Danio rerio: one gene and its partners. The protein of the gene in region 5 purifies or fractionates together with the protein of the main gene of each other region. This does not show direct contact. Links are inferred from orthologs where the notes say so. Each region holds a gene or a part of one and is shown on either strand. Other genes may lie near its edges.

Region 1 (5,859 bases), on a different chromosome or scaffold from region 5:
TGTGTTGAACTGCTTTTGAGAGTCATTGTAAAAGGTGTTGTTTTGCTGGTGGTCTGAAAAAAAGCGCTCTATAAATAGCAGACAGGCCGTTTAGCAATGAGGGCTCAAATAAAGGGGCCAGAGGACATGCTACAGTGAAGGAAAATACAGCAAGTTTCTCTAATGAAGAGAATGAAATGTGGCTGGAGTGCATGAGAGTTGCTGGATGAATGAGCTCTTTGTGAGTGCAGTGTGAGTGGTGGGGGTGAAGGGGACGGCCGTGTATGAGACCGAAACCACACAGGCCGCCTTTTTACATCTTTTACATGAGAGCTTATGAGGATGGATTCATGTGCTGGACTGCCACTGGAGGGCGCAATTCTCTGAAAAAGCACTAAAATTCATTCATTTTCTCACCCTCGCATATTTCCTTTTTTTGTGATTATTATTATTTACATGACAAAACACCACAAACACATATGACAGGTAGTATGTAGGACTAAAAAATAATGAGAGGGTAAAATGAACAAAAATGCTGATCTAGGAAGAAAGAAAAAAATGGGTTAATAAAAAAACAATAGTAATATGTGTGATTTATGGTGTTGCCAGGGGGGGATTTAGTGATTTGTGGGCCCTAAGCAATTCCTGCAGTAATATGCACCCATTGGATTTGTATTTATTTATTTAGCTGCCTTTTTCTTACACCACTCCGTCTTTTTTCTCCATTTTAATGCAATTATAAATTTTTTTAAGATTTATTTGCTTAAATTGAATTCCTAGCTAAAATTATTGAATAGACTTTTGGATTTGATTTTTATAACTAAATCTTCACCTGATTTGACTGCTAGACTGATCCATGATTGGGAGTGGGGGGACACATTTGCAGAGATGTGATAATCAGGGTGAATCTGTATTTGTTAGACACTCACAGAATAAAATATGTCTCAAAATGCTATTTCATATAGTTTATAAAAACATCTAGGTATTTATTGGGGGCCGTCAAATTTCCTGGGGCCCTTAAGGCTGGTTTATACTTCTATCTCGAGTGAACCGGCACATACCTTGCGCGTAGTTGCAAGATGTCCTCGCTGCAGCCCGCAGCTTGATATCGTAGACCAGTGGTCACCAAACTTGTTCCTGGAGGGTGAGTGTCCTGCAGATTTTAGCTCCAACCCTAATCAAACACACCTGAACAAGCTAATCAAGGTCTTACTAGGTACACTTGAAACATCCAGGCAAGTGTGTTGAAGCAAGTTGGAGCTAAACCCTGCAGGGACATCAGCCCTCCAGGACCGAGATTGGTGACCCCTGTCATAGACGATCGTCAACTATGTAACGGACCTTGTACCGCCCTAAGTTTACGCTCATGCTACCATGATGGTTGGGTTTAGGGTAGGGGGAGGTGTAGGCGATCGTCAACCACGTAGCAGACCTGGTTAACTACGTCATCAAGCTGGGGGCTGCAGCGAGGACTGTCTCCATAGCTGTGCATTTATACTTCTGCATGCTGTTTGTGTTGCTCTGCATTAGCACTTCAGAAACGCTAGCTGGCAGTAGGTTTTTAAGTTCCTCTATGTCCAGTTTCTTTACTGGTGTTTGGACGTCAAACTTGCTCATTCAAAGGCGGGAACCGATGGATGTGCTTTAATCATAAGATAAACAAAATAAAAGTTTTCATCTGGAGCTCCTTTTCACGATACTCGACACTTGTAAACACTCATTCCATCGGCTCTCAGCACCGCCCACACTCGTCACAGCTACCCAAGAAGACCAATCACAGAGCTTGTTCTATGTGTTGTTGCGACGTGTAGTTACATTTTTTAAAGAGTGCAAGTCGACATCAGCCATGGCGAGCCTTAAGTGGCTTACTATTAAATCTGCCCCTGGGTGTTGCATGAAAAGACCATCCTGTCTTTTTTAAAGAGTTACAAATTTTGTTCATTCAGCACAAGTGAAGTTTTTTTCTTTTCTTTTTTTTAAAATTCAAATCTGAGAGATTTCTTGAAAATCTGCACATGCAGAGCTCTTTAAAATGTTCTTAAAGAGGTTAAAAAACCTGTATGAATCTGTCTGAGGAGACATGACTGGCTTAAATCATGAACAGATTTAATTTATTCAAATATAAATGCTAATCAGTAATGTTTGGTTGACGTGGAATGTTTAGTTTCTGTTTGCTGTTCAAAGTTAATATATGTGAATAAAAGCCCAATATATATCTATTCATCATTTTAAATGTGATTCATCAGTAGAATTGGATTAAATCTCTTAATTTTTATAAAGAGTCAAGAGTTTTGGATGAAAAAACTATAAATAAAGGAAAAGAAATATGCCATATCTTTAAGTTCTACAAGTTGAGCAAAGGTAAGTATTTGGAACAATAGTCAGTGATTCCTTTGTGTGTGTGTGTGTGTGTGTGTGTGTGTGTGTGTGTGTGTGTGTGTATATATATATATATTTTTTTTTTTTTTCCTTCTTTTTTTGCTTCTTGTTTTTCTGTCCATTACAAGTCATATAAATTTATCTTTTTAGTCAAGTGAAAGTGAGGGAAAAGTCAAGGAATTTGACATTTGGTTTAGAGTGGGGAAAAAACAAATATGACAAGAAGAAATCATCATGGTAACCAATGACAACATTTTCATTTTGTGGTGAACCAAGGCAGCATTTACACTGCAGATCTTGATGGTCAATTCCGATTTTGTGACTGCATCCGATATGTTTGACAACCCGCTTACATAATCTCTTAAAAGTGACTTGTGTTGTCTGCATTTACACTGCACCAGCAAAGACACAATGAACACGGTAAAAACAGTGGGTGCCGACTGACGGTTGTGATAATAAAATGATCCATTACTGTAATGAATCAGTTTGAAGGTTGTTGGGTTTTTTTATGCATGCATGCATGTACACTACTGATCAAAAATTTGGGGTCAGTTTTTTTTTTCTTCTAATAATTAATTTTATTTAATAATTTAAATAAAATTATTTTGTTCATCAAGGCAGCATTTATTAAATGAAAAAAAATATTAAATACATATTTATTAAATAATTAAATATTTATTTATTACATATTGTATGTAGTTTCAAATTAAATCATTACTCCAGTCATTATGGCTCTTATTACTATTACGATTAATAATAATAATAATAATAATAATTAATATTAGAGTAATTTCTGAAGGGTCATGTGACTCGGAAGACTGGACTAATGAAACTGAAAATTCATCTTTAAAATCACAGGGATAAATGATTAAATTAAATGATCAACTACTTTTAAACAGTGATTTTATAGTGCAATATCATTTGACAATTTAACAATGTGTACTGTATTTTGGATGCAGCCTTGGTGAGCATGAGAAATTTATTTTAAAACATTTAAAAATCCTACTGACCCCAAATGTTTCACCGGTAGTGTATAACTTTAAGCCCTATGCAATTTCTCTGTCTCGACACTGCTGCTAAGCATATTCATGGGCAAGTTAATTTGTTTGTTTATGACGAAGTTCTCATTTGGTACTTTGGTACTTTTAATGTAGGCTTTTCAGCAGAAATGTGACTATCCCCAAATCTCAACTCAACTTGACTGTTTTCCCCAGCTTTTCCAGCAGAGGTCACCGATGAAAGTGCTTCAAGCAAAACTACATACATACTTTGTTATACACTGCCCTTATGTGCTTTTGAACAGCCAACTACAATCATGTGCAAATGCAAAAGTGAGCTTTTCTTGAATAACCAGTGTTCTGCGTGCAGCTGAATGTGTCTTACCTGTTCAAGAAAGGGTCAGAGCTGTTGGTGGTCATGTTACGGGCGTCTTGGCCCATACCAGGTGAAGACACAGGGTTTTGGGTGCCGCCATCCTGCTCCATGCTGGTTGGCAGCTGGTTTCTGAGGGCGAGCTCCTGCACACACACACAAAACAAAAGCAACATGCCTCAAACCGTCATGAAGCAAGCAGACAGGGTTTGCAGGAACCGAACGGAAGCTTAGCGGAAGTCTGAATAGCTAATTTTTGTTGGAATTACTCCAAGTACAGATGAGAGCAGATACATTTTTCTACTGAAGAAAAAGGACAGAACAAACTATACTGGTTTTACTATGAAACCACGCATACGTGCACAATGAACTATCAATGAGTTATGGGAAGTAAAGGACAAAAAAAAAAAAAAACTTAACCTACAAGTTTTACTTAGTTTCATGTGTGTGAGAAATAAAAGCCTTTTCCCATCCAACAAGTTCCTAGGAGTTACAAATCTGGTTATGATTTATCAATGGATTGTGTAAGACTGCTTACTTCAGGCCTCAGCTCAAATGAGTGGTTTAAAGAGACTCACGCGAAGGTGTGGGTTTATTGCACATCATTTAGTACAGAAGGGTCAGAGCTTTGATTTTATTACAGACTTCCTATGACTAATTGAAACTTAAATACTGTCACAATTTCTGCTGATTAAAGGATGATTCAAGCACTGCTTATCAACACGCCATCCACACTGACCCTTTGACTGTTTGAGTGCACTTCACTCATCATAGCTGATAATTATTCATCACATTATGTAAAAAAAAACTCATTTAAATTAACTGACATGATTTTTTTGTATTCGTTTTCAAAAAATATATGTATAATTGAGAGTAGTTTAATTTTATTCAGTATTAACATATTTTATTTGAATTTTTTTGCACAGCCATCTTAACTTTTATCATTTATTAGTGAATATTAAACATCTGTACTTAAAATGAAAATGAATTATTTAATAGCATCCAGAATATAGCTGTTAAAATAGTTGAGAAATTTATAGATATGCGTTTGAGTTTATTGTTAAGATTTGAATTATTGTGTAAAAGGTCTGATAACATTTCCATATGTCAAATAACAATATTGCCATTGAGATTTTTATTATTCATTATATACAGTGCTCAGCATAATAGAGTATAGCCCATTTTTGAAATGAATATTTGTATCTGTTTCTCAGTAAATATAGGCAATGTATTCTGGTGCATTTAAACAAAACAGATATATTTATTTAAATAATATTTTAGTTACCAAACTTATTTAGAAATTGAGAGATAATACTATTAAAATCAAAGCAAAATACTGCAAAAAAAAAAAAAAAATCAATACAATTTTCTCTTTTTTTTGTTGCTCTTGATTTATTTTCTTTTTTAAATTCGTATGTAATATTTTTCCATAACATAAATTTGGGTGTGCTCATTTTTTGGCCATTATCGTAAATTATTTTGTTAGATGAGCTCCAGATTTGGCCTCAGTACTGACTAATCTAATGTTTTTGCACAAATATAACATTGTATAGCTTCCTATTAAAAATAAACAAATTTCAAAGAGAGATTTGTGAGAGGTGTAATCATATTTGCTGAGCACTGTATTTCAGAGGGAAGAATTACACTTAACTGTGGTCATGCCATTTTATAGATTTTTTTTCTCAAAAATGGTATGACAGCAGCTTGTAATTGTTCATCTGAATGTCTCTTTCCTCTGATGGGAACATTGTATATAATTCAGGGGGGCTGATAATTCTGACTTCAACTGTTATAATGTTATATATATAACTGTTATATATATATATATACATATAGTAAATAATATTTTATATTATACACACACACACACACACACACACACACACACACACACACACACACACACACACACACATACATACATACATACATACATACACATATATACACAAACAGAAATGGACAAAATTGTTGGTACATTTCAATTTTGTCCAGTCCACTTTCATAAGCTTGCCTTTTTTAACACTTCTGTTTACCCAAAATTCGAAATCAATATCTGATTTTCATTCATTTATTTTCAGTAATTTTTGATTAATAAAGACATAATTTTATTGACCACTATACTTTTTC
Region 2 (6,286 bases), on a different chromosome or scaffold from region 5:
ATCTAGAAAAGTTGATATGAACAGGAAAACAAAACTACATAACATCTGATTAAACATGAATACACATGTAAAGTCCACCGGATGCTTGTCTTAAATTGCATCCAAAACTCTGAGGCAAGGTTGGTGAACAATGCAGTGCAGTCAAATGACGCCACAAGGAGCAGGAAAACCAACAAACATCAAGCCTCGGTTTCAACGGAGAACTTCAGCATTTCCACTAAAGCAGCGCTTTTCTTTTTAGTTGAGCAATGAGAGCTCAGATAACAGGATTCTGGGTAATATAGAACAGATGGCTCTCGCTGCAAGAGACCAATGCATAGACCTCTAACCCAGAGGGCCACACAGGGGCACTAAATAAATCACACTGTGCCTCAGCCCAGCCTGGAATCACTTTCCTTCCTCACCTTTCCATAACCAGTGCATCACTCTTTCGGGCTAACATACACATGCAGATATTTACAATCTAAGACCAAATAAAATAAACTAATGACTAGTTGCAAAGCTATTCTATCCATGTCCATTTTTTTTTTTAAAGTATGAAAGTACAAAAATCCAAGTTATGACTTTAATTCTTAGAATGATTCATTTAATAGTGTAAGAAAACTAAAATATACACGTCTATTAGAATCACTTTTTGTATCAAATATATTGCCAATATAACTTATTTTCTTACAATTTATCGTCAACAATTAAACTATGATGGTTTCTGACAAAAAGCTCATGAAAAAAGAAACATCTGGACTTCCTGTGTTCTCGAATGGTGTGGCAGAATGCGGTTCTCACTCCTGATCTGGCAAACTTCACATTTCAGCAAAAGAACCATTTTGACGACATGTGTGTGAGCTCTGGGACTGTGTGATTCTTTGAAGGACTTTCAAAAGGCATAAAACTTTTAAAACTGGCGGAATTCAGAAAAAAAGTGCTTTTACAATTATGCAAGAATTGAAACAATGCTTAAAACATAAAGCAGAGTATGTTAAAGAACAGCTCATAAAACAATAAAATTCATATATTCATAAATGTTATCTTTAGACTTGCAGCGTATGCTATTTGTTAATGGTTCAGGGGCCAAAAGGATTATTTGATTCAAAAAGTCTGAAACGCAAAGAACTTTAGTAAATTCAAGCGCCTTATCAAACACGCAAAAACGTTCCTATATAAATTGCTAGACCAAATATCAAAACACACATTCCCAAGTTATCTAGCTTTCAAAGATATGCACAATACTATCAAACTTTAAATCAGAATAACTTTCTTGCCAACAAATGAAAGAGTCTGTATCTCTTAACATACATTCCACACATAACACTGAAAAAAAAAGAAAACTGCACTGAATGAAGCAACCATTGTACCCTACACTAGCCACAACAGATATGGTTATAAACAAAAAAGTGTGAGACTCAAAGTTGGAGAGCCATTCACTTTACATCACTAACATAATACAAAGTTCTGCATGTTATATTGTTGAGCTGCCAACTTACTACCTACACAACCTCAGCTATCTTTAATGAGATGTTAAAGTCTTACAGGAATCAATGGGAAATTTAAGATTGCAATTAATTCATGGCACACTATAAAGTATATTAGCATAAAAGCTCAAACATTCTTTAAATTTAAAATAAAAACAACTCTAAATTAACCAATTATTGATATAAAGGGATCAAACAGAATGCTGAATTTAAACCTTTTTGGTTCAGCGCTGTGTACATGCAAGAACAATAGCGGTCTAGTGTTAGTAAGGCCAGTTTTCTTCATCTTGAAACTCTCTATACTGATTTTAGTGTAATCTAGACTAACTTTACATATTTTAAAGTAAAAAAAAGATAGTGTATGTCTAGTTTGCATTCGTTCCTGATCTATGATAAGAATTGTAAAGTGAAAAGTATATATTCTCACTGATCTTAGACAGATTAAATGTGTATGTCTAGTTAACGATCTTTCTGATGTGTGATAAGAATTGTAAAGTTAAAAGTGTGTATTCTCACTGATCTTTGCCATAGATAGCATTGCTTTATCATTATAGCAAAAGTGGACTGAAAGAATGAAGTCATTCTTAAAATTTATTCCTGACAGTGTGTTTTAAACGCAATAAGTGCATTGCATGATGCAATGCAATGGGTCAATATAGTGACCCACACACCATCTGAGCAGGCTGGGGCAAATCAATGTCCATGCGATCAATTCATTTACAGGATGGCTCATGTAATACACTAGACCTTGTTCAATGTATGCATATGCTAAAAATTGAACGATTATCAAAACATGCAAAGGCATGGCATACTCTTAATGCTATTGAAAAGTGAATTTATTGCTCATCTTGAATGTATTGATCCTGCCCTCTATCTATCCTTCTAGTCTTTGTTAATGTCTTATATATAAATATTATTCTTATATATAAATTAATCTTATATGCGAGTTTATATTACAGAACAGCTAAGAGTTATATAAAAGGACAATGGACTGTAGATAAACATCAGACTTGGCGGTAAAGCTCCATCAAAAGGATCTTCAATAACACTGAAACCTGCTGAAATAAAACCAGACCTCTCGTGCTTTAACACTTCATCAACCAGGATATAAAGCTACTGCCTGAAAGCAACGATCACAAGCCAAATAACGTATATGCATACAATACCTGTGCTTGAAATTGTCAAATGACGTTGACATATTGCACAAACGGGGGAACAAACGTCAATGACGCTTCTAATATAAAGCGCTGCACTGCACGAATCCCTTCCTGCGATTACAAAAAGGCATATTTCACATACTAAAGCATTTCCTTTTGTTCGCCTGCGTGTGAACGGACTTGTTTTTTTTTTTTTTTTTGGTCAATCAAAACTACAAGTTGAGCGCAAGCATCTATTTTCTGCGAGCAGCTGATGCAATGCTCTTTGTGTGACACTGCTTGTGCATTTCATCTAATCCATCGCATTATATAAACCTGCGACGCGTCTTTTGTTATTAACCCCCAAACTGTCTTGATCTGAAATGTAAACATTTTGGGAGTTAGATTGCAGATTAGCGGTCAATCGATAGATCAGATTACGTAAAATGAGGAAAATGACATTTTATGACCTCACTGGAGTTGCTTATATTGTAGTCGTCACATGTAACTTGCAGACAAGCCTAAAATAACCGTATAAATGAAACGACGGCTCGATAACGTGGATAAATTAACAACTGACATTAATCTAAACGGCGTTGAGCTGATGCAGGAACAGAAACCAACTGATCTAGATCACATCATGTACAATCGGGGACTCAGTCAATAGTTCCTATAAAAAGGGAAAAGCAAAAAATGTAAATAAATGCTCATAGCTTTTTATATTCGGACGGGACGTCAGAGATTTCTTGATTTGGAACAAGATGCAAGCCGTTACCTTCATTGCCGACACTGGTTTCAACACAATAGACAGAACAGGGACATTTGATTGATCAAAGAGGATACATGTCAAGTCCAAGTCGAACCCGTCTTCTTGGTATCTCCTTTTATTTCTACTGACAAATTCCTTTATGATCGCAGCCATGGCTGTGACAGGAGTCTTTAGGGTTTTTAGTGTGAGAGAGAGTATTGTTGCTTTCGGACGGTCGGTCGTCTTTATGCTCTGCTCGTTTCGCAGTCCCCCAGCTAGCTAGAATGGAGTCTGCTGTGGCTCACTCATCAAGGGCCTCGCTCCAAACCACCACAGGCCCGGCTTCCAAAATGCCCTCCTCGGCTCAGACGAGCCCTGGGTGAAAAGATAAGCAACTTCCCACGTCTGGAACTGCAGAATCTCTAGTGCACGACAAGTCTCTGGTCGCACCGAAGCCGCCGTGATTGAGCGGAAAGGCGGAGAGAAAATCCTCTCCGGTGCTTCCACTTGAAGATCGGTCGTCAGAGCCCCGCTCGCACTCAGCTCGCGCTCCGTCTAGCCTCAACGGCTAACGCGCTAGCCCGTCTACACATCCTTAGAAAATAAAAGCCATTAAACTCTACGACAATCCGCGATGACCAGGTTCCAACACATGAAACAAAATGTGACAGCCTCCACCAAGAAATGAAAAACTCGATATTTAAATGTGGCGTAAGAGACACCTCCGGTTCTGTCCTTATCCTCCACTGCTCCACTGCCTGTTACACTCTCAAACTTCCATCATGGCTTCCCATTGAAAAAAGATGACGTTCGGACGACATATTCATCCGCATTGGCAAATAGTTCTACGGCTATTTCATTTTATGTCAACAACAAATATGTTTTTGCATCCTAGTATATAAATATACTTATTTTAAAGCATTCTTGTTGAGCTGACATGGCGTTAAATTAAGTAATATATCAACTATCTAATGTTAGGGTTACTGCGAGCGCACTAATACACAGTCGGACTACGTTTTGTTCCACGGTCACGTGTCTACAGAAATGAGCCAAGTTCCAATATTTTATATCAGATTTCAAGTCAGTTATGTAGGTGTTCCGCTCCAACATTGTCGTTTCCTTTTATGAAACAAACTCTAATTGGCTTGCCACACAATAACTGAAAGGTACAACCTACGTTTATTTTAGTCCCACTTCTGAACACGGAGAAAATATCAGAATGCACGTAAGTTATGTACCCCTCTCACCAGTGCCTCGACTACCCTGCAGGAAATTACTGAAATGCTTACGCCAGCAGAAAAGTAAGTTACTGCACAGAGGCACAATCATATTACCAGATACCTGTACATTAAATTATAGAAATTAATTGCGCCCACCTGTGATGCTAATTGTATTTAATTATGTATTTGTGTTATAGGCGTGTTCTGTTACGTTTGCTCAGATGTGGATTTTGCCCCAAGGACGAAACGGAGGTGGAAAGTTCTAGCTGCGTTTCAGACAGCAAATCCTTATTGTAGAGCGCCATCTGTCAGAATATTCTAGAATAAAGCTCGTATGCTACAAGACCAGTGGTGCCTAAACATTTTCGTAAGAAGGGCCTAAAACCAAACATCACTGAGAGCCGTGGCCGATGGTAAATATACCAAACTACATTACATTAAAGTTGCCATGAGTGATTTGTTTCATAATATTTCCAAATAATTGTTACTTTGTGTACAAAATAAATGTTACATTAAATTGTATTAACTAATGCAGTATACATTTTTAAAAGAAAACATTATTGCAATAAAACTTAAATGAATATGAATACAGAAGTCAAGCACAATTTGCCTTTGATTTGATTTGCTCACCAAAATCTCTGCATTGCCGGGTGACAGTATGCACATTTAAACAAAATCTGAGTAATTTACACCATTTAATTGAAACATTCAATTTCAGTTAGGCTTTAACAATAAAACAAATAAACAAACAAACAAAGGGTTACATTTAATTTTAAATGACAATCTCAGAACCCTCCTCAATTCTCCCTTTCTTCTCAAATGGGTTGGCGAGACAAATCAAAGGTTACCATGGGCCAACATTAGCCAGCACAGCAGGTCCTACTTTGGAGATCTAAATGCATCAACTTTCTTGTTTTTAATAAATAAATAAAAAATGTGTTTATAACTTTGATATCTCGTTAAAAGTAATGTCAACTAGAAGTTCAGTCACAATGTAAACTGCATCCACTGTGTCAACTGAATGTAGTAGGTACTAGCAGTAGATAAACAAGTTTTATTATTTTGTTATCATTTTTGTATTTTATCCATGATAAATTTCACATTAGCTACATAATATTGTATAGATTATATTTAAGTTTTGTCCTCTCTTAAAAAGTGCAACAAACATACGAATTGATGCAATGAATTTTGTATTCATAATAATGTTATGAACTTGTATGTTTTAAAGACATACAGTTCAGTGTCAGCAGATTTTGAGGTAGAAAAAGATGCTTGTAAAGCACAGATCTGTCATGGTCTAGTCAATGGTAAAAGCAATGTTATTGTAAAATATATTTTGAGGTTTATGTTATAAGGGACTATGCAAAACACTTCAGAACAAGTATAACAAGTCAAGTCCAAATTGTGTGAATGTCAACTTTGAAAAAATGACTACCCTTTTGTCTCACGCAAAACCTGTACATATTTAATAGATTATTAATATAACACCTGAAATCAATTGTAAGTGTTTTGGGGTCATTAATGTAAATCAGTCCTTGACTTTGATGGCAATATATAGATTTTAAATGCAGTCTCTCTAGAACTTGCTAATAATTTAGGTTATGATTTGCAGAACCTACTAAAACAAATGGCCAATGCATTAAAGCATTTTTTAAAATCCCTTTATTAGTTTTTATTTTCATCTTTGCTCCTTTCTTGAACAGTTAGAGCAGT
Region 3 (5,859 bases), on a different chromosome or scaffold from region 5:
ATATATATATATATATAAATATAAATAATTGTTTTATAATGGTATTTTAACTCATTTTAATAAGTTAACTAGGTTTAATTGAATGTCTTTTGTCATCAGTTAAAGTAAATTAATGACTAGAAAATATAATTTGATTTAACTAAAATAATTTAGGTTGCAGTAGTGTATTTTTTTGTGCGAATCATGATTATTAATAAACAGATATGTAATTTATAAATGTAAATTTTACATTAAATAATAATTAGCACAAGTGTTGCCATAAAAATAGCCAATGCTGCAGATGAGGCGTTAAAAAAAAAAATTAAGTGATAACAGAATAGCAAATCCTGAAAGGTCTGCTCTTTTTTTTTATCAGAGCATCTTTGTATATATTATCGGTTTAATCTCCAGGCTGGTCACGAAGAGTGAGCGTCTGCAGACTGTAGAGAGAGAGATGGAGCAGCAGAAGAAGCAGCACAGCGTGACGGTAGACAATCTTTTACTGAAGACACAGAATCTGGAAGCCGCACTGAAGAACGAGAGGCTCGTCATAGTGGAGGAGAGGTGAGTTCAGCGGGATGTAGAAAGCAGCTTCTTGCTGTGATTGTTAGAGTTGTGATGGCAAGCCACAAATCCTGTTGCTCTTCTTTTTGTCTAGGAGGAAGCTGGCCCAGCTCCAGCATGCATACACGTGTCTGTTTCAGGATTATGACAACAAACTTAAAAGCGAAAAACAAGCCAATCACAGGGTAGGTATCTGCTGTTTTTAAACTGTTTATTGGTTATGGTACCATTTTCCTTTAACATTTCTGTTCGTCTTTGACCAGTAATGAAGAAAAAATGTAAAAAATAAATGAAATGTTTTATTTTTGTATTTATTCATACGTTATATTTTTAGAGATGGCTTTATATTGCTGTATGTTATTTTATTTATTTAATTAAATTATTTATTTATTTATTCATTTATTTATTTAATTTAACATTAGCTTGTTTTAATTTAAATTTTTGATTGCTTTTTACGGTGTGTGTGTGTGTGTGTGTGTGTGTGTGTGAGAAAGTCAATAAACCCAATAAAATTACATTTATTATTATTCATCATATTTGTAATAAATATTTTATGGTTACAAATTTAAATATGTAAATGTTTTAGAAAGTTTTCTCAATAGTAGACACTAGTCATTGAACTTCTCTTAAATTGAAACGCTACAAATCTGTGACTTCATTTTTGTGGTAGACACTTAAAATAATAGGTCAGTGCATGGTTTGTGCTCTATAGTTGTTCATGGAAACTATGTGTGGTATTTACCTTTTAAGGGTGGAGAGACGGATACCCTTGCTAACAGGTTAGGGGAGGCTGAGAAAGCACTGGCCCTCAAACAGGAGCACATTGATAAACTCAAGGAGGAAATGGAGCAGCTGAGAGCTAAATTAGAGACCATACCGGTGCTGAACCATCAGGTGAAAATATACTTTGCATTAAAATTAAACACTCATTTTTTAGGCTCTGCTATAAATGTGTATACGATTTAGATCTTGCATATAGTAACACAAACACAATGGCGACATGTTTTATTTTTACAGGCAGAGATCTATAAGATGGACTTCTTGGCTGAGAGGGAAGCCAGAGAGAAACTCAATCAAAAGAAGGAAGAGTTGCAGGAGGATCTGAATAAGGCATTGGTCGAGATTGAAAGATTCAAGCAAGAAAGAACCTCACGGTATCAAAGTTATTTTATGTATTGGTTAAATTGAATGTCTCAGGGTATCCGCTGAGTCTTAAAAAGTCTTAAAATGTGTTAAATAGCAAAAACTATTTTAGGCTTTAAAGTCTTAAATTCACAGAAATATTGTGTTGTAGGTCCTAAATCATTTTAAACAGGTCTTAGTTTTCCTTTTTTTATGTAAAGCTACTCAATTAATTCAACCTATATCCAATCACCAACAATACATCTAAAAAAAAAACTGTTAGCAAAACTCTTTTTATAAATAATACTATAACAGTTTGTTGTGCATACATTTAGTTAAAATTTTTATTTTTAAAGTTTTTAGTTAGTATTTATACAAATAGGGTCTGCTTGTTTTGATATTTTAAATATTTAAATTAGTTATTTTAAATATGTGGCTAAGAAATAACTCATTAGAATTAGTTTTTTGATTGGGAAAGTATTTTTTTAAAATCCTTCGCGTTAAGTCCTAATAAAGTGTAAATTTAATTCTTGATGGTCTTAAAAAGTCTTAAATTGGACAGAAACCCTGATATTTGATGGTTATTTCCTCAGTTTTTGCATTTAGTTTAGCTTTGTCATTATTTTCTACTTAATTCAGCAGATCCCAGTATGTATATGCATGATTGTCATTGTGCTTTTTAATGCCTAAAATCACTAGTAAATAACAGAATGTAGTTTCTAGTTTATGAATTAACTAACATGAAAATAGTTTTTATGTAAGATTTGCATTTCCCATTACTGTCATCCTGCCCCGTTTTAATATCATTATTTTTAGAATTATAATACTTAACTATTTTATATGAGTTTTGGGGATAAAGAATCGATGTGTGGCAAAAGCCCATCTATTCAGGAAGAAATCTTCAAGTTCAGCATCTCAATTGGAAAAAATGTCCATTTCAAATCAGTCCATCCATCAACCTATAAAACACCAGCAGTTTTTATCCTTGTTTTACCATGGTGCATGTCTCTGTTATTTGGCTACACTTTGAATTCAGAGCATGTCTGAACTAAATTTCTAATGTAATGTATAGGCCATTATCCCACACCGTTAATCCCTCTTTGAGTCATTGATTGATCGATAGAAGCGAACTGCTTTTCAATATTTGATGATAACAGCGAGCCTCTGTAGTGAACAATAAGCAAAAACTCGGTTTAAGAGAATTTTCTTTGGCTTCAACTTTAAGTTTTTAATATACATTTAAATTAAAAACAGTAGCATTGATTTATGTTATCAATCTCTGCATTTCATTTAAAGGTGCAGTAGGAGATCTTCCACAATGCTAACAGCTTAGCATAAATCTCTGAATCACAGTCCCTCCCCTGCCGTCTAGAGCCACGCCTCCTGAAACACAAGCACAGCAAAAGAACCCTCTCATGTGTTAAAAGCGACTAGTGCATGTCCGGCGGCATGCAAGCCAAACTGACATGCTATTTCAGAGTGAATATTTAGAGTTGCATGGTTAACAATATAGGGAGAGACTAGGCGGAATAGTGGCGTTTACTTGTGTTTTGTTGTTAAACTAATTAAAATCTCCATCATTGATGCTGTAAAAGGACCCTTATGAAACTGAAAATAGTCTTATCAATCTTTCATCGGAAGATTTTAGGAGCTGAACAACACTTCTGTGAAGATATAACCCAACATCTAACGTTACATCAGCTTAGCGTGAAGCTAAAATAATTTTAAAACAAAACATTACCTGTCTAAGAGAAGGCCTTCAGACATGGTGTCATCCTTTCTCCAGCGTGCAAAGGTAACTCCAATATTGATTCAGGTTTTTAAAAAGTTTTGATTCAGCATGTTTTTACCAACCGCGCGCGCGTGCACGCATTCTCTCTCTCTCGTGAACGTGCGGCGGTTCGGCAGAACTGCGTACAAACGGCTGCGCAGTTGTTCAAATCTGCATTTGCTGACAGACAGATTGAGCTACTTATCGGAATTATGAGAGATGTCCGTCCGACTCTATTTAATTGGATGAACATTTTTTTGTTTTATGCCTTACCCAAAATATAAAAATACATTAAAATAAATTTAGATCATTTACTGTAATCATTACTATTAGACTGTGAAGAGACTTTCAACCAGTACAACAAAAATTGCTCCTGAAGACAATCACCTACTGCACCTTTAAATTAAAATCTAAATAAATTCAAATGAATTGCATGAACTAATGTCCTCTCCCTCCTGTTGTCCAAGCGTTTGATGTGAATGTTGTTTCCTCACAGAGCTCGCATTGAAGAGATGCAGCAGAGACACTTGGAGGACTACAGGCCTCGACCTCACCCGCCACCTCCAGCTGGTAAAACACCTGTTTTCTTCATTAATTAATACACAGGTGCTTTATTTCCTTTAAGTTAGTTAATTAGATTTACAGGCTACATGACAAAATGCATCTCTTTAAAGAGTCATTAAGCCACTGTTCTCTCACCACAGGCCACAAAGGTGAGGTGTGTGTGTGTGGTAAAGCTACTGAGTGTAGGGGAAGTGGTGAGACTTGGGCACCACACAAATTCACTGAAATTTGTTTTAAAACATAATTTTTATGCTTTGTGTTCACATAGCTAACTATATATATATATATATATATATATATATATATATATATATATATATATATATATATATATATATATATATATATATACACATACTTATATATTCTCTGAATATATTGTTACAATGGTAAAAACAACAACAAAGAAACTTGACACAGTAGAGCAGAGAAACCCTACTTTCGGAAAAGCAACACAGAGAGAATGCAGAAGTATAAATGCTCACAACAGAGTCAGCTACGTGCGAGAGGTGTGCCGTGGGCTACAGAAGTATACATTGCAGAAGTATAAATTGGGCTTATCCCAGAAGATGAATCTCGTTTGAAAGGCATTTTTGATGAGGACAAGACTTTAGCTGCGTTCTGGTCTAATTTTTAAGCCCTTCACTTGCCACTTTACTTTCCTTTGTCTCATTCCCTCGGATGTATGTCATTGATTACGTTACACAACTATACACTGCTGGTGGACAATCTGAATGGGTTTTAATGGAATGCCCTAACCCCTTAAACACCTGGGACATACACTGTTGTGATATCACAATCACATTAAATTCTAGGTATATATAGGTTCTGAAGTGTATGTATGATACCAAATCACTCCATCGGCTAAAACCAAGGGATCGAGGGAATGTCAGTGTAAACTTCATGAGTGTGCTTCTAAAGGCTGGTTTATACAATAAATATGACCCATGGCGCATACCTTGCAAGTTGCCGTGCATTTAAGTCTGATTTGTACTTTTATGTCAAGCACACGTGTATGCTCTGCCACAGCCTGCGCATGGTCGCATAGCCCTTGCCATGGCCGACACCGATGCGCACCTCTCAAAAAAATGTAATTACACTTTACAACGACAAATGAATGTAGGCGAGACGAACTGATGAGTGTTGGCGAGACCGAGAGCCTCGCGAACCCATTGGAGCGAGTGAGTCCCAAGATAAAGCTCCAGATGAAAACTTCTGTTTTGTGTTTTCCTTATGGTTAAAGTTAATGCATATCCGCTGATTTCTGCCTCAAAATGAGCGCGTTTGAGCCACTTGTACATTATGGTAGCATTGAAAAAGAATCTCAACACAGAAGAACATAAAAACCTCACTGCCAGCTAGTGTTTCAGAAGTGTTACTGCAGAGCAACACAAAGTGCACAGAAGTATAAATGCATGACAATGCGCGAGGCAGGCGCCAAGGGTCTCCCTGATCACACGACACAGAAGTATAAACTAAGCTTGAAACTAGGCTGATTTATACTTCTGCATCAAGCGCGCACATATGGCCTGGCCCAGCCTTTGCGCTTTTGCATAGCCCTCGCCATGGCTGATGCCGAAGCTGATGTACACCTCTTAAAAAATGTAACCACACGTTGCAATGACGCGTAGCGCAAGCTCTGTGATTGTGATTGCTCTGTGAAGCTCTGTCGGCTTAGTAGCAGTGACGAGCTCGTGTTTACAAGTGTCGAGTCTCGTGAAGGATCTCCAAATGGAAATTTTTGTTTCATGTTTACCTTATGATTAAAGTTGTTGCACATCGGTCGATTTTTCGCCTCTGAATAAGCTAATTTTATGGCCCGTTTCCACTGAGTGGTACAGTTCGTACCGTACTGTACC
Region 4 (5,859 bases), on a different chromosome or scaffold from region 5:
TACAATCGATCCGCTCCAGAGTTCGTTTCAATCAAGCCGAGACCACCTCATTCAGGTGATCTCGGAGCGATTGTTTTGGCGCGGATCCGAGCGCAATTGCTGGATTTACATATGCCAAACGAACCATGCTAACTAGGCAATGGAGACAGGTTCCGAAATAAAAGTCTAGATGTGAAACCACCCTTAAACTACAACTTTGAGGGGGGGAAATGGTGGCAAAGTGTTTGCTTTGAACAATAACATTTTACTTAAAATGTGATTTTTTTTTTGTGAATACTGTGATGTTTCACATATGCATTTAACAGGTTAAGTATTGGCGCACAACATGACATGCAAAACAATGAATGTGCGTAGACGTAGTGTATCTCTTTACAAAACATATCACTGGCAAGCACACAATGCATAATTTGTAAATTATTAAATTAGTTTTAACGGGAATCTTTTTGACAGCAGTTGATTGTAAATGTAATTAATCAAAAACGAAATGAGTAAGCATGTAAATGTATTTTAAAGTCAAGTCTTGATACATAAAATATCAAGTTCTAAGTTAAGGTAGGTTAATGGTCATTTTTCACCCCTATTCTCACCAAATTATACCAAACTTTGTAATTAAAATTTGCTTGATTCAAATAATAAAGGTTTTGTCAGCTCCTAATTTACATGTTATTATCAATTCTAAAGGATCATATGATTGTGGAGAATAGAAAAAGGAAGCTGAAATTTTTCCTTTAGTTTAAAACATTGAAAGAAATTAATAAATAATATAAAACTTGACCAGTTTTACTGATCGGATAAAGACTTTATCAACGCAAAACAATGCTTTAAAATTCCCCCCTGAATTAAAGCGCTCCTATAAGAGGATGAGTGATCTTTAATGAAGCTTATTTAACTTTGCTTCTAACCTTCTTTATATTGATATTTCTGTTCCACAGGTTTAGATGCCTCTGGCTCAATATTTTCTGTGTCGAGCTTGTCCTCTTTTTCCTCCCATGTTTCATCTGTCTCTTCCACTGGTGGGGCTGGGGGCTCTTTCTGAACCACCTCTGGCTCAGGAGCTGGCTTCTCCTCCTCTGGCTGAAACGGGTACACAAGATTCTTAAATCAAGATGCACACACACAAAAAAAAAAAGAAAAAAAAAAGAAAGAAAATAAAAACGTAATAAAAAAATAAATAAAAAAAAAAATCACAAAAGGTGCTACTGTAAAAACAAATGTATAATGACAGCACAAACCTCCTTGAAGGCATCTAGAACATCTCCAACATCCTTCTTATTCAGATCCTTGATCTTCTTTTTCTTCTTTAGCACTATTGGGGAGGCAGCTAGGGAGACAGTAACTAGAGTCAAACTTGGAAAGGAGATAAACAAATAATATTCTTTACAATCCTAATTTAATAATTTACCAACCTTGCATAGTTGTTTCTTCAACAAGGCAGACTGGTGCAGGGGTGGGGGCCTCTTCCGCTTTCTCCTTTTCGGTTTCCTCCACAGATGCTTTAACAGCTGTAAGGCAGCTCTGCTGGTCCTGTGGAACCACTTGTTCAGCAACTGGATTAGCGGAGCTCTCTGGCTTTACATCTGGAACCTCTGCAGAGTCCTGGGGCAAACCGTTTAACAAAGGCTGTTCCTTTGGCTCATCGGCAGCCAGTTCTGGAACGGGCATCTCTGTGATTACAGGGGCACCATCACGATCTTCAGCTACATTAGGAGAAGACTCCACCGCACTGGAGGCGACAACAGCTGGACTTGAGGCTGCTGTAACTTCTGTTTCAGCCACAGGTTCATACTCTTTCTCCTCGGCTTCCTCTGGCTCCACAGGAGCACAGGGCTCCTTGGGCTCCTTCTGAGCAGAGGCTTCAGGGAGCACTGGAGCATCCACACTGTCTGCAATTTGAGGCTCTGAAGTTTGGGGATTGTTTGCAGGAGGAGGAGAAGGAGAGGGTACCACAAGATCCTCTTCTGGAGGACTGGGAATCTTGCTCTCTGGTGAAGCAGGTCTGACTTCTGACTCGGGTTTAGAGTCGATGGATGAAGGTGCTGGGGGCTCTGGTGTCTTACATGGAGGAGGGGTGGACGCAGATGCAGGACTTACCATGGCCTTCACTTCATCATCTGAAGATCAAGCAGAGTAAACATTATTAAAAATAAAAATAAATTCTCTAACCAAAATGGATGGTTGACAAAAATGAAAATGATAAAAATGACAAGCTGCAGAAATTTCTTAAATTATTACACTGATGTCTGGAATACTCAATTCTGATTGGTCAGTTGTGACATTCGAAGGTATATTATTCCCAGTTAACAACCGCTGAATAGCAGATGCTCATTTGGTAAACTTCAAAATCACCATGACCTGTGTTCACATCCATATATTAATATCCAAATTAAAGTGTTACATTATGTAACACCGCTGTTTTTGACTGTTTGGCCCCATCTTAAGAATGAATAATACATAGGTTGATCTATGCTCCATTTAACCAGTTTCATTTCTGCTTGGTGTTTGGTACCATCTTGTGACTGAACAATGTGCAAGTTAGTTCCATCAGCTCTAGTCAGCTGTTTTAGTTTCTGTCAGCTTTGCTTTAGTTAAATTAATAGACTGTTATGACTCAGAACAATGTTTTGTATCAAATGTTTTTGTTTTGGGGCAATAAGCGAAATAAAGTATGTCAGACTGTTGTTTTTGTCAAATTAAGCTCTTCAGTCTTCTACAATCAGTCTTATCTACTGTATCAGGCTGCTGCTAAGCCTGTTAGTAAAACTGCAGATTGATGGTAACATCTAAGCCCCACAGTAGTGACAATACACCACTGAAGTAAATCTTTGCCATTAATTGTACTTTTAGCAACATTTTTAAAATAAATACATTTAAAATAAGTGTTTAATAGAAAACAATGACACTTTTACAGGTTTAACTTTTTTAAATTGGTCTGGAACACAGTGAAAACTCCATCAACTCAAAAGTATGTTAACTCTGAAATGAGACTCTTGGTTTTCCGTTTTTAAATGGCAGGTTTGGCAAACTCAAGAAAGCAGGGTAAGCCAAGCCTGTTTCTGAAAGAGAACTTTTACTCAGACACATGAGTGCACATTTAAATCCATTTAAAAACTCAATTTTAGAAATTTTATCCTAAACTGATCAATGCGAGTAAAAGTGGGAATCTTAAATTAAACATTTCTGAACATCAAGTTTAGGTTATATGCATTCTTGTTTTGTCAAATTTGCAGTAGAAAATATGCAGTAGCCTATTTTATACGATTTAATGCAATTACGTCTGAAATTACTTTCAAATTACGGCCAACTCCCCACTTTAAGTGAAAAGTCAATAAACGTCACATTACATTATTAATTTTTTATTATTCTTCAATATTTAAATACTTTAAACGTAAACTTGCACAATAACTTAAATAGCTATGTTTTCCACACTCAGTCTCTGTTTCGCTGATACAGTGGTGTTGCTTTTTTTTTTTTTTTTTTTAAATATATGGTTGTATTTGTTGCATGAGCACATCAGGTTCAGCTGGAGAAAAATGCTGATCTCTTTTTTTTCAGATGTTGCCATGGTGACTCATTATCTACGCTCCATTGATAATACCTTTTTATAATTGCAGTGTGCACGCTTAACTCTGAATCAGTCTACTCAGACTTGATTGACCCAACTCCTATCCGCTTTTCTGAAACAGAACTCTTAAGTTTTTAATCTCTTAGTAAGTCAACTCAGTTTATAGATTTAAACTTCCAGTTGGTTCAACCTCCTTATTGAAACATTCCTTATTTTGAGGTTATTGATGCATACGCAAGTGGATAAATCCAATCTATCAGACATGGAAATCACATTTGAAACTTGCCACTTTTTTCAGGATGGAAAAACAGTTTTGGCAATAATGTACTTTTTTTGCTTGTTATTATTATTATTATTATTATTAAGAATGTATACTCACCAGTGCTGATCTCAGCAGGAAAAGTTGGAACGCTTTCACCATTGGTCTGAACTGGACTTCCCACTTCTGTACCAGCAGTCTGGAAAAACAAAACAAAACAATGAACTCATTGTAATATAAATGAGCATGGCATAATGAACAAAAGCATGAAAGTGTCAAACCTGTGGAGGAGTTGGTGTGGAAGTCGTTCTTCCACCAGACATTATCTCCTCTGTGATATCACGTCCACCCTGGTTGGGGTCACGTATCCTTATCTGTTAAGCGGCATCAGGTAAGTGACAAAAAAAAAAAAGTACTAAATCGAAAAACACAGCAAAAGTCGTTTCCACCCACCTGTTTGCGTTCTCTGGGTTTGACTGGCCCTGTCGGCTGTGGAGCAGCTTGCTGTGGAAGTGGAGCCTGTTGCTGCTGAGCAGGGTTCATCATCACAGGTGTAGGAGGCACTGGCGTTTGGTACTGCTGTGTTGCAGGGTAGTAGGCAGCTGCTAGACCACAAATAAGGCAAAAAAAAGACAAGATCAGACACCAAGATAAGACTTTTTGCTGTAATGGGAGGGGGACCCACATGCAAAGTACCCCCCTACCCTGTAAAATCACTTCCAGACTCCCTGAGGAAAACAAAGAAAAATCAATATTTCATTAACATAGCTTCTTTCTATTCATAATAAAAGGCTAATTCACCCAAAAACTGTAATAATCATCCTCAGGTTGTTTTATACACTCAAAACTCTAATTCATCCTTAATGCCACTCCATTGAAGGGTCCAGAAAGGTAGTAAAAATTGCGTTAAAAAATGCAGGCTCACAAGAGCATTTCTTGTACTACTTCCTCGATACAAGACAGCACCACCACGCATTCGTGCTTTGTTCACACTGGAGCTGAGGTACAGGTAGGGATGCAACGATATAGATTTTGGTTGTACGATTAGTCTGAGAAATAATCATGGTTATCATGATTATTATGCATTCATTCATTTCAAAGTAAAAAAAAAAAACTTAACATAAAAACTCCTCATATTTGAAAGAGTTATTTATTGCTGCTCAGTAACTAAATACAGCACAAAATAATAATAATAAAAAAACAATAGTCCCTAAAACTATTTCCCTTTTGACTTAGAAATATGTGAAAACTAATTTTTGGCATAAAGTAATAAATTAAGTAATAAAGTAATAAATTAAGTAATAAATTTACACTGAAAATAAATGACAGAACAATGAATAAATGAATAAAAATAAGAATAAATAATAAAAATAGTCTAATGCAGGGGTGTCCTAACTCAGAGCTAGTTTAGTTACAGCAGTTTGTTCCATGAAACGTGATGTTGAGAAGCCTTTATGATTATTAACCATGTCAAATTAAAGCACGGCATCTCTACATACAGGAAGTGATGTATTGTGTAATAACACAATTTGTGGCACTGTTGTGCACAAAGTAGAAGTTGTAAACGTCAAAAAATAGTTTCTTTTTTCACCTCATTGCTTCAGAAAATTATTTGAACCCTCCACTGTTTGGGCAAATAGGCTCATTTTGTAATCCTCTACAGTTAAATAGGTGATTTTTACCATTTTTGCTTCCAGTCAGTCAATCTCTGGGTCTGGTAATTATTAATATTATTAATATGATGAAAAGTGGAGTGCTCCTTTAAAGCTGAGGTATCTGAAGTCACAAGAACTGCTTAGAGGATGCTTTCACTTCGTTTCAGGAACACTGAAGTGGCAGTGTCATAGGCTGTGTCAATGGAGAGGAAGAAATCTAGCAGATCTTCAAATGTATATGGAACAACATGAGGGCAAGTAAAGACAGATTTGACATTTTGGGTGAACTAACTCTTCAATAACCATCATAAAAAGATAACCCGAAAAGTTTGCACCCAAAGGATGAAGTAGCATTACGTCACAGGTTACATGCGTCTGGTGGT
Region 5 (5,859 bases):
GTCATTCCGATTTAGTCCAAAAGGTGATGATAATAGTTAAACATGGCAGTTTGTTCATGTTTTAGGTTGCTAAAAGAATCATTTGCTCTTTTTTTTTTCTACTTCTTTCTCGGCTTCTCCTTTGCTTTTTAGCGCTTCTCTCGTGTTTGTCCCTTTCTGAAAGGATCAGATGTCAGAAGTGCTTTAATAATCACGTGCAGCCATATATAACTATAACGTGCACATTATCAGCTCAAGAAGTTTGTTATTTCATAGATGGATGTGTGGCGAGCGATTGCGAGGTCTTGGGAGAAAGTAAAATCACTTGCGCTTTTAGACGCCCTTGTAAGCAACAAGACACACAGGTTCTGCTCTTGTTCTTGGCTTTGTGGCTGTTCAGCAAGACGACGACTAGGTTTGTTTAAGCTTGGCTCGATCATGACTTTTTATTATGTTTATATTATTATGGTTTCATGTCTCGGCTGTGCATTTAAAAACGGTGCTTCCTGTGTTTTCATTCTCCTGGCTTGTGCATACACTAGTGACACTTCTCTGTAACCAATAGCGTTTAGCTGTGTGTATAGCTGTGTGCCTTTTGGTACCCTTTTGTTTTGCTAGGTACTCTTTGGAAAAGGTACCCAAAAAGTGATACAATAGGTTTGCTTGTTGGTTTGTTTTGACAGTGGAAACGGGCATAAAAGCATACCGACTCATACCAAACTACTTAGTGGAAATGGGCCATTAATGATCCTTTACATTTTTCTTTAAATTTGCCTCTAATGCAAAAAGTAGTCTTAATTTATTTTTTTTATTTTGCTCCCTGTTGTTGTTGGTATAAGGCAAGTGTAACTTAAAATACAGAACACCTCTTGGCATAATATATTACCAATGTGGTGCCAACATTCTCTTTGTTTACTTTTTTTCTTTTTACTCTAATAAAATGCCAAGTCATTGTTTAGTTTTTACACATCGTTTTGCTGTCCATTTTGTTTGTACATTCGACTCTGGCCTTCCATTCCAAAGTACATGTTATAATTTTTTTTTTAAAAACCTGTATTTAGTTTAGATAACATGCGCTTGCATTTATAGGGTTAAGGAATAAAGGTTTGTTTGTGTGCATGTTCTTCTATTGACTTGATGTGATTGAGTGATCTCATCCAAATTTCTTATCAGCTTCCCCCGTTCAATGATAAAGTCACCTGCGTCAGCCATTCCTCAGGTAAGATCAAAGCTTCATCTGAATATCACTACAAATACTGCTACAGAAATAAAGATATGAGTTCTAGATTGCAAGATCCTTAATTACTCCCACGTAAGCAAACACAATGGTTTTCTATCATGTATTATGCTTTGACCATAGCTTGCTTCGTCACGCATGGGATACAGAGTTCATTTATATTCATCTGTCCTATTCGCATCCTAATCCTTAAATTGTAGACTGGTCCTCATTCATCAGTTGTATATAAAGCTCCTTGGGCTACGTTCCCATCTCTGTAGTCTTAATAATCTTTCCCGAGACAGTATCATATTGCCCTCTCAGGTAGTTGTGACCTTCACCCTCATCTGTATCAATTATTTAGGAGGTTACTGCACTCCTGCTGTGCCTTACATAACGGAATCATTGAGACGGCAGGTTTGCGGTGAGTTTTCGGTCCACTACACACCGCCTTAATCTTCTGTTTTTGTTGCAGAACTCAACACTTAGGTCTTAAACACTGACAGCTTTCTAAACCTTCCCCTTTACCAAACCTTAAACCCCTACTTCTTATTCTTGCCTGTCCATTTAATCTTTGGAGCTTTGCATGCCTAGGTGCCAGGCGTCTCTCTGGCGCATAAGCATCTACTTGCAGTGTTTGGAGTTGATGGGAGGCTTTATTTTTGGTATTACTTTTTTGGAAATTCTCTCAAAAAACACATCACATCTAAGAATATGACTTCATGGACCATTTTTCAGGACCTCTAACAGAATATCACCTGAACATGTGACAGTGTTGACTTATGTTGCTTATGAGTTTGCCATCCATTTCTGCCTAAAATAAAACATCTAAAATGAATACTAACAGAGGATGTGGTCTTATCTATTCTTTGATCCATTGCTTGGGAACTTGTGTTCCCTTTATGACTTAAGGTTGCTTTACTTTTCTGACTACTGGCTACTTCTGAGACTCGAATTCGTAGAGTAATTGTGACTTGCATTCACTAACACTGTTTCCATTCACTTCAATCTATCCTTCACTGCTTAGTCTGCACCGTTTAGTACCACAAACACTTTCAATTCAGAGTCTTTGTATATAAATAACTACATGGTACCTCTAGTATCTTAGTAATTGAGTGTTTTATAAAAAAAAAAAGATAAATCAGATTTGTAACAGAAAATCATTACAATTATTTAGATGCACATGAGTTTAACTGAGATGTTTCGATCTGCAGGAGAGGACTACCAGCATATTGAGTTTGGTGTGGATGAGGTAATGAATGCAGAGCCTGTGGCAGTGAAAGACTCGCTGTACAAAGTCTCTAGCACTCTTAATCCTCAGGCCCCTGAGTTCATCCTGGGCTGCCAACCATCTCAGAAGTCCCTTGCCACAGCTACACCTGTTGCTGATATCCCGGACGGTGCCGAGTTCAACTCCCTATGCTGCAGCAACTCTGAGACCTCAGACATGGGCAGCCATCAAGCCTGCTTGGACATGGATGGGGTTTCGGGTGGCTTGGGACAACGGAAGAAAAAGAAAAAACGACCGCCGGGATACTACAACTATCTAGAGGGTTCAAACAGCAACAGCACTGGTGTGGCCACAGATGGAGTGGGGCCCCCAAGCCTGGTCAACGGACATTCACCAAATGCTCCACTCCTGAGTTCAGAGGACTTGGTTGGGGACATTCTACCTGGGGCAGAGCTAATTCCCCCAAATTCTATAACATCTGCACCCCAAACCACCCCACTTTCCAATCAGAGGACTTGTGAAAGCCCTGACAATACATTTGACTTGACGAGTGGAGCTGCCTCTTTGTTAGACAGAAATGGTGCAGCTTCTTTGTCTACTTCATCTTCGTCCTCTCAGAGCAGTGGGGTGGCACAGAGTGCCAGGACTGCAGAGCAACATGCAGAACCCCCTGCTTTAGAGAGCCCAGTACTTCTGGATAACGGCGGGCACAGCTCCTCTCCACCTTCCCCTCTTCCCTGTGCTGCTCTGGCCACCCCTACAACCACAATTCCTGCTACTACTGATGAGAGGGAGGCCGAGGGCTTGGGGGAGGCCAACGGGCTGCCAGAGACCGCCTCAGCTGCTGGAGCTGTGGATGAACTCCAGGACTCCTCTGAAACGAGTGAGGTGCAGTCTGCTTCCTCTCTAACCCCTCTCTCGTTAGACTCTGACGTTCAGCCGGTGGTCTCGCCTGTTGTCCCGGCAGCACCTGCGATCACCCCACCGAAATCCTGGGCAAGCCTCTTCCACAACTCCAAGCCTCTACCTGGAGGTCCTCAGGCGTATGTTGAGGTGAAGAGTGTGCCTGCTGTTGTCACATTCACACCGACTGCCTCCGAGTTGCCTGAAAAGGTCAGTGAGGTGCGTGAAGGCCCTGTCCCCGTGTCTGAAGACCCTATGGCCCCAAAATTGGCAGGTAAAATTACATGATGTTAATGGTTGAGTCCAAACTGCAAAGAATGCTGTATTGCACTAAATGTAGTTGTTTGCTTGCTGAAAGTTACACCTAAGCAAATTTTGGTCCAAAACAGGGGTCCACCAACCTTGTTCCTGGAGAGCTACCTTCCTGTAGAACTCAGCTCCAACCCTGATTAAACGCACTCGAACCAATAAATAGGACCTGATACAGCACTTGATAATTACAGATGTTTATGGAAGGTCAAGGTTGCAACTGAAATCTGCAGGAAGTTAGCTCTCCAGGAACAGGGTTGGTCACCCCTTACTGGAGATTGGCTGCAAGTGTATTTTAAAAGTTGTTCTGTTGTTTTTCAAGGATTGCTTGGTGCATTCTCTACTAAATGTTAAATTCACCCAAAATGAAAATTGGTCATTTAATCATCATTCCATAAATTTTTCGTTCAGTTTACTCAATGTGATTGAAAGGGTCGTCGCTGCAGAGCATCTTGGGTAGAGCTCACCTCCAGGGTGGGGGAGCTTAAGCTCCAGCTCCTCCACCTGTAAGCTGTTTTAATGCGTAGACCTACTCCACCCCTAACCCCAACCCCCAGTGACGTCACTTGTAGAAGGACCGGGAGCTCTAGCTCCCCCATGCTGGAGCTCAGCTCCGCCCATGTAGCTCTGCAGTGAGTACCACTTGATGCAAATGTTTTTTTTTTTTCCAATTTTAAGGTTTTAAGACCATTTTGTTCATCATGTGAAATAATTGTATCTTCAGAATACTTGGGTCAAACAGCTTTCTTTATTTGGAGCGCTGGCTTTCAGAATTGTCAATTTTGAACGGAGAAAGTTTTATCTCTTAACTTATTTAAAAAAAAAAAAAAGGTATAACCTGAAATCTGCCTACACAATATATTTACCTGTTTGCAAAGATTCGTACCTTTTTACTCCTAACATTCTTGTATCATGTTGCAGAATCATGTCAGATTAAATGTTGCTTCATTGTTTTACATCTCAATAACAAATGCATGCAGTTAAAGAAGGCTGAACAAGCGACTTGTGGAAATGAGGTTTATTATTAAATGTAGACCATTACACAATATGAGCCCAATTTGACAATCCATATTGTATGGTCTAAAAGCAGAACTATTTTACTTGTATAATTGTGTGTTCAAAGACTTTGGTTTGTGACATGTATTTATGACATATCTTGAATTAAATAGAAATGTCTGGTTTATTAGCTTATAATTAACCTAATATTTATATATTTGCCTTGAATTTACAGTAATGATTAGCTAATTAGACCCCCCCCCCCCAGAAAGATCTCCGAAAAAAAAATTGTACTTGTTTAATGTTTATATTAGTCATTTTCTTGCAGCTGTTTTTCTCTACAGTGATTGTACATTGTGTTGGTCAAATACGGAAAGCTCCATGAACATGATATTAATCTGTTGCTGTATTCGTTTTAATGATAGCTGTGTATGATCATGTTTTGCTATCTGCCTTAGCTTTTTAAAATTAATGACCTTTATTATTATTATTTTTGTTTTTATGAACAGTATTTCTGCGTATTTTTCAGATTTTTATTTGAGATTTTACAGAAGAAATCAACAGCATGTAGCTTTGTAATCACACTAGTGTCAGTTCTGATTTACGGGCACACCATTTCTTCTTGATTTAATGTGGGTTGTGTTTCTGTCCACAAGATGGCAGCAGTAGCATGTTTTATTGCTGGCACCAATAAGTTCTCTGTCCTGTTAACCCTAGACTGGTTTTTAAAGCATCTCGGCTCCTTTAAAAATATGTCTGTCTGTGTCTACATCTATCTATCTGTCCATTCATGTCTGTGTGCTTGTTTGTTTTTCTGTCCATTCATCTCATCTATCAATTCATATATCTATCTGTCCAATCATATGTCTGTTGTGTCTGTATCTATGGTTCTATCTATATATCTTATCTGTCTATCAATCACCAAATGAATATCATATTTGTCTGTCCATCCATTAATTTATTTGTTCATCTCTATCTGTCTGTTCTTCCATCCATATATCTATCCGTCCGTCCATCTATCTGCCCATCTATCCATCTATATATCTATCTGTTTGTCCGTCCGTCCATTCATATGTCCGTCTGTTCTTGTATTCATCTATATTCATCTGTCTGTCTGTCTGTCTGTCTGTCCATTCATCCATCTAGCTATCTAGCCAGCCATATATCCGTCTGTCTGTCTAATCGTCCGTCCTTCCGCCTGTCTGTCGATCCATATATTCATTTA

The links.
Region 1: the proteins of usp10 (region 5) and yap1 purify together in Homo sapiens (affinity purification with western blotting; 4 studies listed by BioGRID). This does not show direct contact. The link is inferred for Danio rerio from reciprocal best matches to the Homo sapiens genes USP10 and YAP1.
Region 2: the proteins of usp10 (region 5) and ptenb purify together in Homo sapiens (affinity purification with western blotting; 4 studies listed by BioGRID, with this or other methods). This does not show direct contact. The link is inferred for Danio rerio from reciprocal best matches to the Homo sapiens genes USP10 and PTEN.
Region 3: the proteins of usp10 (region 5) and ikbkg purify together in Homo sapiens (affinity purification with western blotting; 3 studies listed by BioGRID and IntAct, with this or other methods). This does not show direct contact. The link is inferred for Danio rerio from reciprocal best matches to the Homo sapiens genes USP10 and IKBKG.
Region 4: the proteins of usp10 (region 5) and eif4g1a purify together in Homo sapiens (affinity purification with mass spectrometry; 4 studies listed by BioGRID, with this or other methods). This does not show direct contact. The link is inferred for Danio rerio from reciprocal best matches to the Homo sapiens genes USP10 and EIF4G1.

What each region holds. Positions count from the first base shown.
Region 1 is NC_133193.1:40,215,283-40,221,141, forward strand, and holds part of yap1 (transcriptional coactivator YAP1), read right to left. Parts: intron 3,876-5,859; coding exon 3,742-3,875; intron 1-3,741. UniProt on the Homo sapiens protein: Transcriptional regulator with dual roles as a coactivator and corepressor. Critical downstream regulatory target in the Hippo signaling pathway, crucial for organ size control and tumor suppression by restricting proliferation and promoting apoptosis.
Region 2 is NC_133187.1:19,016,983-19,023,268, forward strand, and holds the start of ptenb (phosphatidylinositol 3,4,5-trisphosphate 3-phosphatase and dual-specificity protein phosphatase PTEN), read right to left. Parts: upstream 4,151-6,286; 5' UTR 3,528-4,150; coding exon 3,449-3,527; exon of another isoform or gene 3,381-3,448; intron 2,936-3,380; exon of another isoform or gene 2,636-2,935; intron 3-2,635; exon of another isoform or gene 1-2. UniProt on the Homo sapiens protein: Dual-specificity protein phosphatase, dephosphorylating tyrosine-, serine- and threonine-phosphorylated proteins.
Region 3 is NC_133198.1:21,478,502-21,484,360, reverse strand, and holds part of ikbkg (NF-kappa-B essential modulator), read left to right. Parts: intron 1-390; coding exon 391-543; intron 544-637; coding exon 638-728; intron 729-1,293; coding exon 1,294-1,437; intron 1,438-1,560; coding exon 1,561-1,697; intron 1,698-3,932; coding exon 3,933-4,006; intron 4,007-5,859. UniProt on the Homo sapiens protein: Regulatory subunit of the IKK core complex which phosphorylates inhibitors of NF-kappa-B thus leading to the dissociation of the inhibitor/NF-kappa-B complex and ultimately the degradation of the inhibitor.
Region 4 is NC_133177.1:19,187,977-19,193,835, reverse strand, and holds part of eif4g1a (eukaryotic translation initiation factor 4 gamma 1a), read right to left. Parts: intron 4,427-5,859; coding exon 4,275-4,426; intron 4,196-4,274; coding exon 4,103-4,195; intron 4,021-4,102; coding exon 3,942-4,020; intron 2,112-3,941; coding exon 1,407-2,111; intron 1,322-1,406; coding exon 1,233-1,321; intron 1,075-1,232; coding exon 903-1,074; intron 1-902.
Region 5 is NC_133182.1:74,662,178-74,668,036, reverse strand, and holds part of usp10 (ubiquitin carboxyl-terminal hydrolase 10), read left to right. Parts: intron 1-1,152; coding exon 1,153-1,198; intron 1,199-1,559; coding exon 1,560-1,619; intron 1,620-2,409; coding exon 2,410-3,603; exon of another isoform or gene 3,604-3,707; intron 3,708-3,871; exon of another isoform or gene 3,872-5,859. UniProt on the Homo sapiens protein: Hydrolase that can remove conjugated ubiquitin from target proteins such as p53/TP53, RPS2/us5, RPS3/us3, RPS10/eS10, BECN1, SNX3 and CFTR.